2 linked regions of the Canis lupus familiaris genome follow. The protein of the gene in region 1 interacts with the protein of each later gene in a pairwise test. Links are inferred from orthologs where the notes say so. Each region holds a gene or a part of one and is shown in the gene's direction. Other genes may lie near its edges.

The links. The genes of interacting proteins can lie anywhere in the genome.
Region 2: the proteins of CCDC184 (region 1) and PBLD interact in binary tests that used the Homo sapiens proteins (3 or more experiments, as listed by UniProt). The two-hybrid records come from large-scale screens. The link is inferred for Canis lupus familiaris from reciprocal best matches to the Homo sapiens genes CCDC184 and PBLD.

What each region holds. Positions count from the first base shown.
Region 1 is NC_049248.1:40,009,528-40,013,935, forward strand, and holds CCDC184 (coiled-coil domain-containing protein 184), read left to right. Parts: upstream 1-1,249; 5' UTR 1,250-1,338; coding exon 1,339-1,926; 3' UTR 1,927-2,049; coding exon of another isoform or gene 2,050-2,051; 3' UTR 2,052-2,121; coding exon of another isoform or gene 2,122-2,132; 3' UTR 2,133-3,156; downstream 3,157-4,408.
Region 2 is NC_049225.1:20,241,587-20,246,057, reverse strand, and holds part of PBLD (phenazine biosynthesis-like domain-containing protein), read left to right. Parts: intron 1-3,069; coding exon 3,070-3,169; intron 3,170-3,536; coding exon 3,537-3,635; intron 3,636-4,471.

The sequences.
Region 1 (4,408 bases):
GATGAGGAAAGTTATTCATCCAAGGTCTCCGCACTTGGTCTTACGGCCAAAAGGCCGAGAGAAGCGATACCCAAGGTCTCTGAATTCCAAGGCAGGAACAAAATCGGATTCAGGTCCCCTGAAATCGGCTGTGTGGGCTGCAGAGCTCTGGAGGAGGGAACAGGGGCGCCCCGCGGTTCTGGCCGAGGGTTCATTCAACCAACACAGAGAGCGTTTTACTTACTACGCGCCAGGCACTATCTTAGGTGCCGGGGACTCCGGGGTTGAGGGCGGGGAGCCGAGGATGCCCGCACCTTGGGGAGCTTCCGTCCTCGGGCCTTAAGCGCGGGCCTCCGCGGGCCGGAATCCTCCCCGCGCCCCGGGCCGCCCCGGCTGGCTCAGCTGGGAGGGAGTCGCGCGCTTCCTCCGCTTCCGCGCGGCCTGCGGCGGGGGGGGGGCGCTGCAGAGGCCGGAGCCAGAGGCGAGGCCTCCGGGGCGCCCGCCCCGCGCTCTGCACCCCGAGGCCGGGCGGGGCCGGCTCCCGGGCGCCTCCGGGTCCTTCGCTTCGTGCGCGCGGCCGGGGGCAGAGCGGCGAGGCCCGGCGCTGGCGCCATCCTCTGACCGAAGGGAGGCCTGGGGGCGGGGGGGCTCCCAAGGCAGCGGGCGCCGAGGCAGGACGACGTCTCGTGACCCGGACGGAGGTCCCTGCCGCAGGCCGCCGGCCGCGCTCCCCCCCGGGAGGCCCCCGCAGCACCCCCGCCCCACTGCAGCTCCGCCGCCGCGCTCCCCGCTCGTCGCCACTTCCCGGTTGCCATGGAGACGCACGTCATTTACGTGCCGTGCGTCGCCTTGGAAACAGGGGCGCATCCGCGGCGCGGCTGGGAGGCCCGCCCCTGCCACTCCAGGCACGCTCGCGGGCGCCGCCGGTTCCCGGCCCGGGTAGTCCCGAGCGGTCCCCGCCGCCGGCCTCCGCGAGCGCCTCGGGGACCCCGAGAGCCCGCGGGCACTCGCCGCTCGTGGCGCCCGGAGGGCGGCGCTGACCCGGGCGCAGTCCGGGAGGCCAGGCGGGGGCGGGCGCTCGGGCCGCGGGGCGAGGCGGAGGGTCCGCGTGCCGCCGGCTCCTCCCGGCCTCCTCCGACCGTGCCGGCGCCCTCGCTCGGCTCGGGACTCGCCTCTCCCGTCGGCTCCCCGCCCCCCTCGGGAGCCTCCTCTTCCCTCGGCCCCTCCCCGCCACCCCCCCGGGGGCCTCTCCCCCTGCCCCGTCCCTCCCTCCCTCCCTCCCCCACCCCCGACCCCGACCCCGACCCCGGGGGCCGGGCTGGACCGGACCCAGACGCCGCCGCCCGCTTCTGCCATTCAATGGAGGACGGTCCGCTGGAGATCATGACCAAGGACGGCGGCGACATGCCGGCACCTCTGGAGGTGTCCACCGTGCCGGCCGTGGGGGACGTGATCTCCGCGGAGTACAACGGCGGCATGAAGGAACTGATGGAGCACCTGAAGGCCCAGCTGCAGGCCCTGTTCGAGGACGTGAGGGCCATGCGGGGGGCCCTGGACGAGCAGGCCTCGCACATCCAGGTGCTCTCGGACGACGTGTGCGCCAACCAGCGGGCCATCGTCTCCATGTGCCAGATCATGACCACGGCGCCCCGCCAGGGCGGCCTGGGCGTGGTCGGCGGCAAGGGGAGCTTCCCGGGCGCCCCGCGAGAGCCGGAGACCCCTTCGCCTGCGATCGGGGACAGCGGTTTGCTGGGTCGCGATCCCGAGGACCAGGACGACGATGAAGAAGACGAGAAGGAGACGCCCGGCTCCGCCACACCCACTAGTCACTGTGAGCGCCCCGAGAGCCCCTGTGCCGGTCTCCTTGGGGGGGACGGGCCACTTGTGGAGCCCCTCGACCCGCCCGACATTACCCTGCTGCAGCTGGAGGGCGAGGCCTCTCTGTGAGGGGACTCCGAGGGGCGCCACTTTCCCGGGCTGGCTTTGGGTTTCCGAGTGCATGACGCGAGGGGACTGGACGGCGCGGTGCAGCATGCTTCCCTCCGACCGCTGCTCTCGTGGGTCGGGCAGAGAGACTGCCTCGAGGAAGGATGCGTAGGGTGAAGGACCCTGGGAGCTCAAGGATTCTTTCTGCCTAACCAGGGGAGACCTAGCGAACGGCCGAAAGGTGAGGTTCCGGGAGAGGAAGCGCCCATCTCCGGACTCCCATCCATCCCCTACCCTGCCCATTCCCCCTCCCCAGCCAACAGGAGAACCCCTGAATTGTGTAAATAAAATTCTGCTTTTTCTATTCTGAAAAAGGACTTATCTAGGACTATGGCAAATAATCTCTAACGATTTACCTAGAAACTAAGGAGTTGGGGGTATTCTGTTCTGGCAACAGAAAATTTACCCTTCTGCTGAAATCCAAGATATTCAGCGCTCTGCAGAAGCCTCTCCCCCTCACAGATCTCTGCGGCTGCTGATTGGTAAAGGAAGCTTGAGGAGGGAACTGCAGCCCTAGGAATCTGGGTGAATGGGGTTCCTCGGGCCCCCGGGCTGGGAGGAGCTGGCTATGAATGTGCATGAAGACCTAATAGCTCAACCTCTAGGATTTTTGCATGCAGAGCGGATCCTGCCTTGTCACTGACTTCATCTGGGATTGCTTTATCCACTCACTGGGGCTTAGAGAACAAAGAGCCCAGTACACAGGCAGAGACTTGGGGTGCTCAGCAGCAGCCCAGATTTAGGGGACGTTTGAGGGACTCTTGGGGGCCGCAGCCAAAAACTGTCTCTCTCCTGGCTACACCCGCTTAACTTCAGTTCCTTTTCCTGTCGATCTGTCCCTGCCCGCTGCCTCTCGGTGTTGCCTCCATGATGTCTTGTGTGTGCTATGTGTGTCGACTTGTGTAGTAGTGTGTGAGCCCTGAGGGGCAGGGCTTGTGGCTCTGGTGTTAGGTTCAGGGGGCTTCAGATCCTTCTGTGAGCCCCAGGCTATCATGGCGCTTTCCCCTGTCCTTTCCTCTTTTCCCCACAACCAGGGCATGGAGCATGTGGCTGTCCTGAGGTTCTTAACTGATGTGCCTCCCTCCCACCTCTTCAAGTAGTGACTTTGTGTGCCCTTTCTCCTCCGCTGTGTATTCCTTCTCAATGCTTTCCTTGGTGTTAACCTTAATAAAGAGGCGTCATCTCCCCTCCTTGCTGACTGGTACTAGGGGGATGTCAGGGTGGGGCTTCTGGGCCCGCTACATGCTACATGGACCGGGGCTTAGGGGGGACTGCAGGGACCATGCCTTCCCTCCTCTCTCCTTGCCTCCAGTTCCAAGGAGTTGGCTGACCCTGCCCTGGTTGGGACACGCGTCGCCAGCTCTGCCTCCTTTCCCTTCCATCCTGGACTCTGAACTCAAGCTGGACGGGGGAAGGAAAGGGTATATGTTGAGTCTCCCAAACTAACCAGGGCTTTTAGTAGCAGAACTCCAGGTGTGCAAGTGACTTCTTTTCAGTGAAGCGCCTGCTCCCTCCCTGAGAGATGACTTCGAAATCTGAGTCCAGGAATGGCAGGCATGACACCTGTTCCATGGGAGGGTTAGGGGTGGGGTATTGTGGGTATTGTTCCAGAGGGATTGCCCAGGATCTCTGAGAGGAGAGTGACACATCACAAAAGAAAGCACAATAACTGCCTCAAGCCCCTAGTGGAGAATGCCAGTAAGGTATTCCCTGCGGAGCTCAGACTGACATCGGCTCTAGTCTGCTCCCTTGGGCCATGGAATTTCCTAAGGCTGCCCCAAACAAATTGGGGAGAAGAATGTGCTGGAGTGCTGTGGTGTATGCATATGCGTGTGTGTGTGTGTGTGTGTGTGTGAGCACGCGTGCCTGTGGAGAGGCTTCAAAGAGCACCAGAATCACAGATCTGGGTTTGAATCTCAGTTCCAACACTGAATGACTGAGACTTGGTTTGCTGCTTGAGACCTAATTTCTGCAGGTGTAAAATGGGGACAAGAAGTTGTTGGGGATAAAAATATCTAAGACCTGTAGTAACTCTTGTGCAAATGTTAGTTCTTTTAATAGTTAGTTCTCTTGGGATGGGGTGATGATGGTAGTGACTGGCTCCTTTGGGAAAACAAAACTACCTAATGAAGGTTCTAGAAGCTCTCTTTTTATATATAATCCTTCCCTGTCTAAAGAACTCTTAACCTTCAGGATAAAGGTTAGGAATGACGAGATTCCCAAGGTGCTTTTCATCATAGATGTTGTGAAGTTATGGGCCAAAAAGGTCTTGGGGACTAGCCCTGTAAAGGATGACGAGAGGAAGTTCTGGGTTGTGCAGTGGTTGGGGAATGTGTGTTGGGTCCCAGAGAGGACAGCTAAAGTATATTTGTGGGGAAGTATCCTCAAAGGCTGGGAGATAGTTTCCCGTTATAATTCCAGCATTCAGCACCCATAACAATGA
Region 2 (4,471 bases), on another chromosome or scaffold:
CCTGGGACAGAAATTACAGTTTTAGAAATTCAAATCGCAATTGGTGTAATACACCAAGGTAGAGAGGACTGAAGAGCTTATGGTTAGTGAAGTGTGTATACTAGTTGATGTGCAAAAAGCCCATTTGCAAAGAAATCTATTCTATTCAGAATAGATGGTGAGCTTGGCTACAACATGGGATACTTTAGTGCTTTTTGAGACTCTTGTCCTAAAGGTGGAGGGAGGGAAGCAATAGACAAGGAAAAGAAGGACAAAGATAGGGAGTTTGGTCAGATTGGAGGAGGAAGGACTGGCAGGCACTGCACGTTTCTGCAGCCATGGTGGCAAATCCAGAAAGACCAACACAGGCTTTTCATTATCACCCCTTCAACTGCCACTGAGGCCTGTGATTGCAGACTCTGCTGTAGGGAATTAATTGGCTTCTAGTTTCTCTCAGGTGTTATATGCCCAGGCACATGGGCCTGTTTCCACACAGAACATTCAATGAGCCAAGAGACATGCTTCTTAACATAGTTGCTTTGTTGGCTGGTCTGTCCAGCATACCCTATACCCTCTACTCAGGTGGACTACTCACTCCCCAAGCCCAGGGGTGACAGGTATTCATGCCACTTCATTCCTACCATCCTAATTTTCCTTACCTCAGTTCACAGAATCCTAGAGTGTCAAAGATTTAACAGAAAGAGAACAGAAGTGAGGTCAAGTGATTTGCCCAAGAAGCATCCCCAATATGAAGCTCTTTGCCCACATTTTCCTGTCCAACTCACCAAAATATGCCCCATTTCTAAGCCCACCTCACAGCTTCATCTTTAAAGTCCTAGATTATTTATTGTAAAAATCTATGTGTCTCAATTACATACCCTCTGCTGTTTCTCACTGTTGCTTTTCGATTCCCTGCCAGGTGCTAGGTCCCTTGAACATGGGGTTGTATCTTATCCACCAGGGCTTCTCAAACTTTAATGTGCACCCAGATAACCTAGAAATATAGTTTAAAAAAAAAAAGGAGAGTCTGATTCAGAAGGTCTGGAGTGGGGCCTGAGACTCTGTATTTCTAACAAATTCCCTTGGTAGTGGTGCTGGTGCTGCTGGCCTAGCACAGCATTTGGTAATTGGCTGATGGCTGCTTTCTCTTAGAAATGCTGAAGGAATCCGTCAAATCTGATAGACATTGGTTTTCCTGTCTGCAGTGTTTTAAAGGGATAATAAAAGTTTGTCTTTGTTATGGGTAGGTAGAGTAGTGTGGCTGGTTAAAGCATGGGTTTCAAAATAAAAGCTAACCTTTACCAAGTACTTACTGTGTGTTAGGCATTGTGAAGAACACTTTATATCATTATTGGATTTAATCTTTGGAAAGAAAAATGTTAAGTAAAACACAAAACCATTGTGTTATGTTTGGGTTATCAGATAATGAAGACCAATTTAAGTCATTTCTCTTTCTCTAGGACTACCGAGTGTCTATAGATTTTGAATACAGTGCTCCTTTAAGAAAAGCTTTGTAAATCCACTAGAATTTTTATATCAGCTGATAGTTTAAAAATCATGACTGATTTCTCACAATAACCACTTATTTTGTGCCTTATATGAGGATGTGGAAAGTGTTTCAAAATAATTTGAATCAACTAAAAGATAATGGATGCTTAACCTATATAAGTCAGATAAGTGAATTATGAATTTATTAGTATAAAGTTATACATCTTATTTCTGGGTTTTGGGGTCTTAAGAATAGTAAATTTGGCCAAAGCAAAAATGCATTTGTCTTGAGAATTCTTTAGAATTCAAAATCTAACTAGTAGCAAGCATTTGTTGATTAAAAAATTTATTTTCGTTCTCTAAAGGAAAACTCATATTTCTGACCCTTTTTTTCTTGAGTTGAGAAAATGTGTGTGTATGTGTATATATGTATTTTTCTGATTTTACAGTAACTCTTTTGTCTAAGTACTGTTGTCTTCATTTTATAGGTGTGGAAACTGAGGCTCCATGAAATTAAATGACTTGTCCACCCTTGCACAGCTACTAGGACTTGACCCAGGATACAAATTCACATCACTTTTTAAACCATTTATTTTGAAAAATTAAAAACTTACAGAAAACTTTTGAGAATGGTACAATGAACATCCATATACCTTTCCTCTTGATTCACTGATTGTTACCATTTACAAAGCCCACATTCTTAGCCACTTTACCATTTATTCAGCATATTGTGACCTTAGAATATTACACAACCTCTCTGTATTTGATTTCTTTATGTGCAAGTAGTTAAAAATATCTATACTGAGTGTTTTAAAAATGAAGATAAAGTGGGGCGCCTGGCTGGCTCAGTTGGTAGAGCATGTTACTCTTGATCTTGGGGTCATGAGTTCAAGCTCCATATTGAACATAGAGCTTATACACACAAAAAAAGTAAAAATGAAGATGTGAGTCCAGCAAATGTTTATTGAGCTGCTACCATTCTGGGATGAATCCAACATATAAGCCAGATAAAAATCAAGATAGCACATTGTATGCCCTCATAAAGTCAGATGTTGGACAACAGACAGTGAAGGGATACACTGGGCAAATTCAGATGGTCTAAGCACTGGGAGAAAACAAAGCCTTTAAAGCAGTCTGGAAGGCTTCCTGGAGGAGGTGACCTCTAACCTGAGGCTTGACTCATGAAAGGGATCGAACCACGTATAGTGGGAGCAGAATGGGCCAGCCTACCCAGAGTGGATGCTGAAGATCTTTTTATTCAACAAGAAAGGGAGATTGTGGAGTTTCCCCTTGTGGAGATTGTTTAGAAGAGAGCACATGCTCTCAGGTAGACCAGATAATAACCTCAAGAAAGGGCTGGCCAGTAGGTTTTCCAGAGTCTGTTCTAGCTTTGTGCATCTATAGCTCCTCACAGAGTGCTACAAGCATAGATTTCTGAGAAACAATCTTTGTAAAAGTGTCTTGACTTCCTTGGCAATTATTTCCCTTTAAGCTTGTAACTGTTAATACTAATAAGCTGTGTTATTAACTAATGGCAGTTGCTGTCCAAGGAAGTCTGATTTGTTTTTCTGGAATCTCAATAAACTTTTGTTTCTAATTTAGAAATTGGATGAAGACGTACATCAAAAAATTGCAAGAGAAATGAACCTCTCTGAAACTGCTTTTATTCGAAAACTGAACCCAACTGACAACTTTACACAAAGTAAATATGCTTTTTTTTTTTTCTTTAAGCCATTCTTGAACAGTAGCAGAAGCTACTTTTCCAGTGGGGGAATGATATTTAAGAGAGATGCCCATATACTATTTGCATACAGACAGGAGAGAAGGTGGGGAGATTCTAATTTGGTTTTGTTCATCTGGGGGAGCCCTAGGATGTTAGATAATTTGAATGTTTCTGCTCCAGATCTGTCACTGGGGAGCCCTAGGATGCTGGCCTAGACTTCACTCCTCCTTCACAGTGTATTTCAGCTATTATTATAGTGAAATATTTAGAAAAGAATAAGAAAATGAAAAGTTTGTGACCACTTGTATGGGAATGATCTTGTCTCTCTTTGGCTTTCCTTCTGAAGGTTCCTGCTTTGGATTGAGGTGGTTTACACCGGCAAGTGAGGTTCCGCTCTGTGGCCACGCTACCCTGGCTTCTGCAGCTGTACTGTTTTACAAAATAAGTAATGTGATTTTCTTTTATGAACCTATAACTGAGCAAATAGCAAATATTTTTAAAAATTGTCACTCTTTGTAATGAATCAAAGTGACTGCTATAAAGACATTGCTGAGTCTATTCATGCCATTCATTACACTGAAACAAATATAGCCCCCGAAACTTTGGCCTTTCTGAGTATGTTCCAGGCCTGTAGGAAAGCCATGGTCATTGTTCCCTAGAACGCCATTTTATTTTTTTATTTTTTTATTTTTTTCGCCATTTTATTTTGAACACGAGCTCTTTGGTGTCTGACCAGCACAGGAAAGGAGCTTGCAAGACCCAATAGGCATCCTACATGATGTGACATTTTGCTCCAAATATGTCCCCACCCACATTCAGACTCATTTCACAAGAGCTTCTTCTTCTTTTTGAAGTAAACCATGCTCAACATGGGGCTTGAACTCACGACCCCAAGATCAAAAAGTCACATGCTCTATGGACTGAGCCAGCCAAATACCCCTCACAAGAGCTTCTTCACTCTGATGTTTAAAGATTCATGAGCCCCGACTATATACATTTTCCTTGTGAAGAAATGAAGCTGCACCGAAATTCTACCAGTTTTCATCTTAGCTACATTTAGTATAATAAAGATTAGGGCTTGGTGGGAATGAGGCAGAAGAGAGATGCCTAGAAACACCTTGTAAGTGGAGATGGAAGCAGCCATGAATAGGTGTAGACAACAAACAAGAACTTAAACAAGGAAATAAACAGGAAGATATGATGGAGTAACTGTAAGGAGAACAGAGTTGGAAAAGGAGGTTCTCTGGGGAGTTACTTAGATAGGGACAATACTGGGAGGTG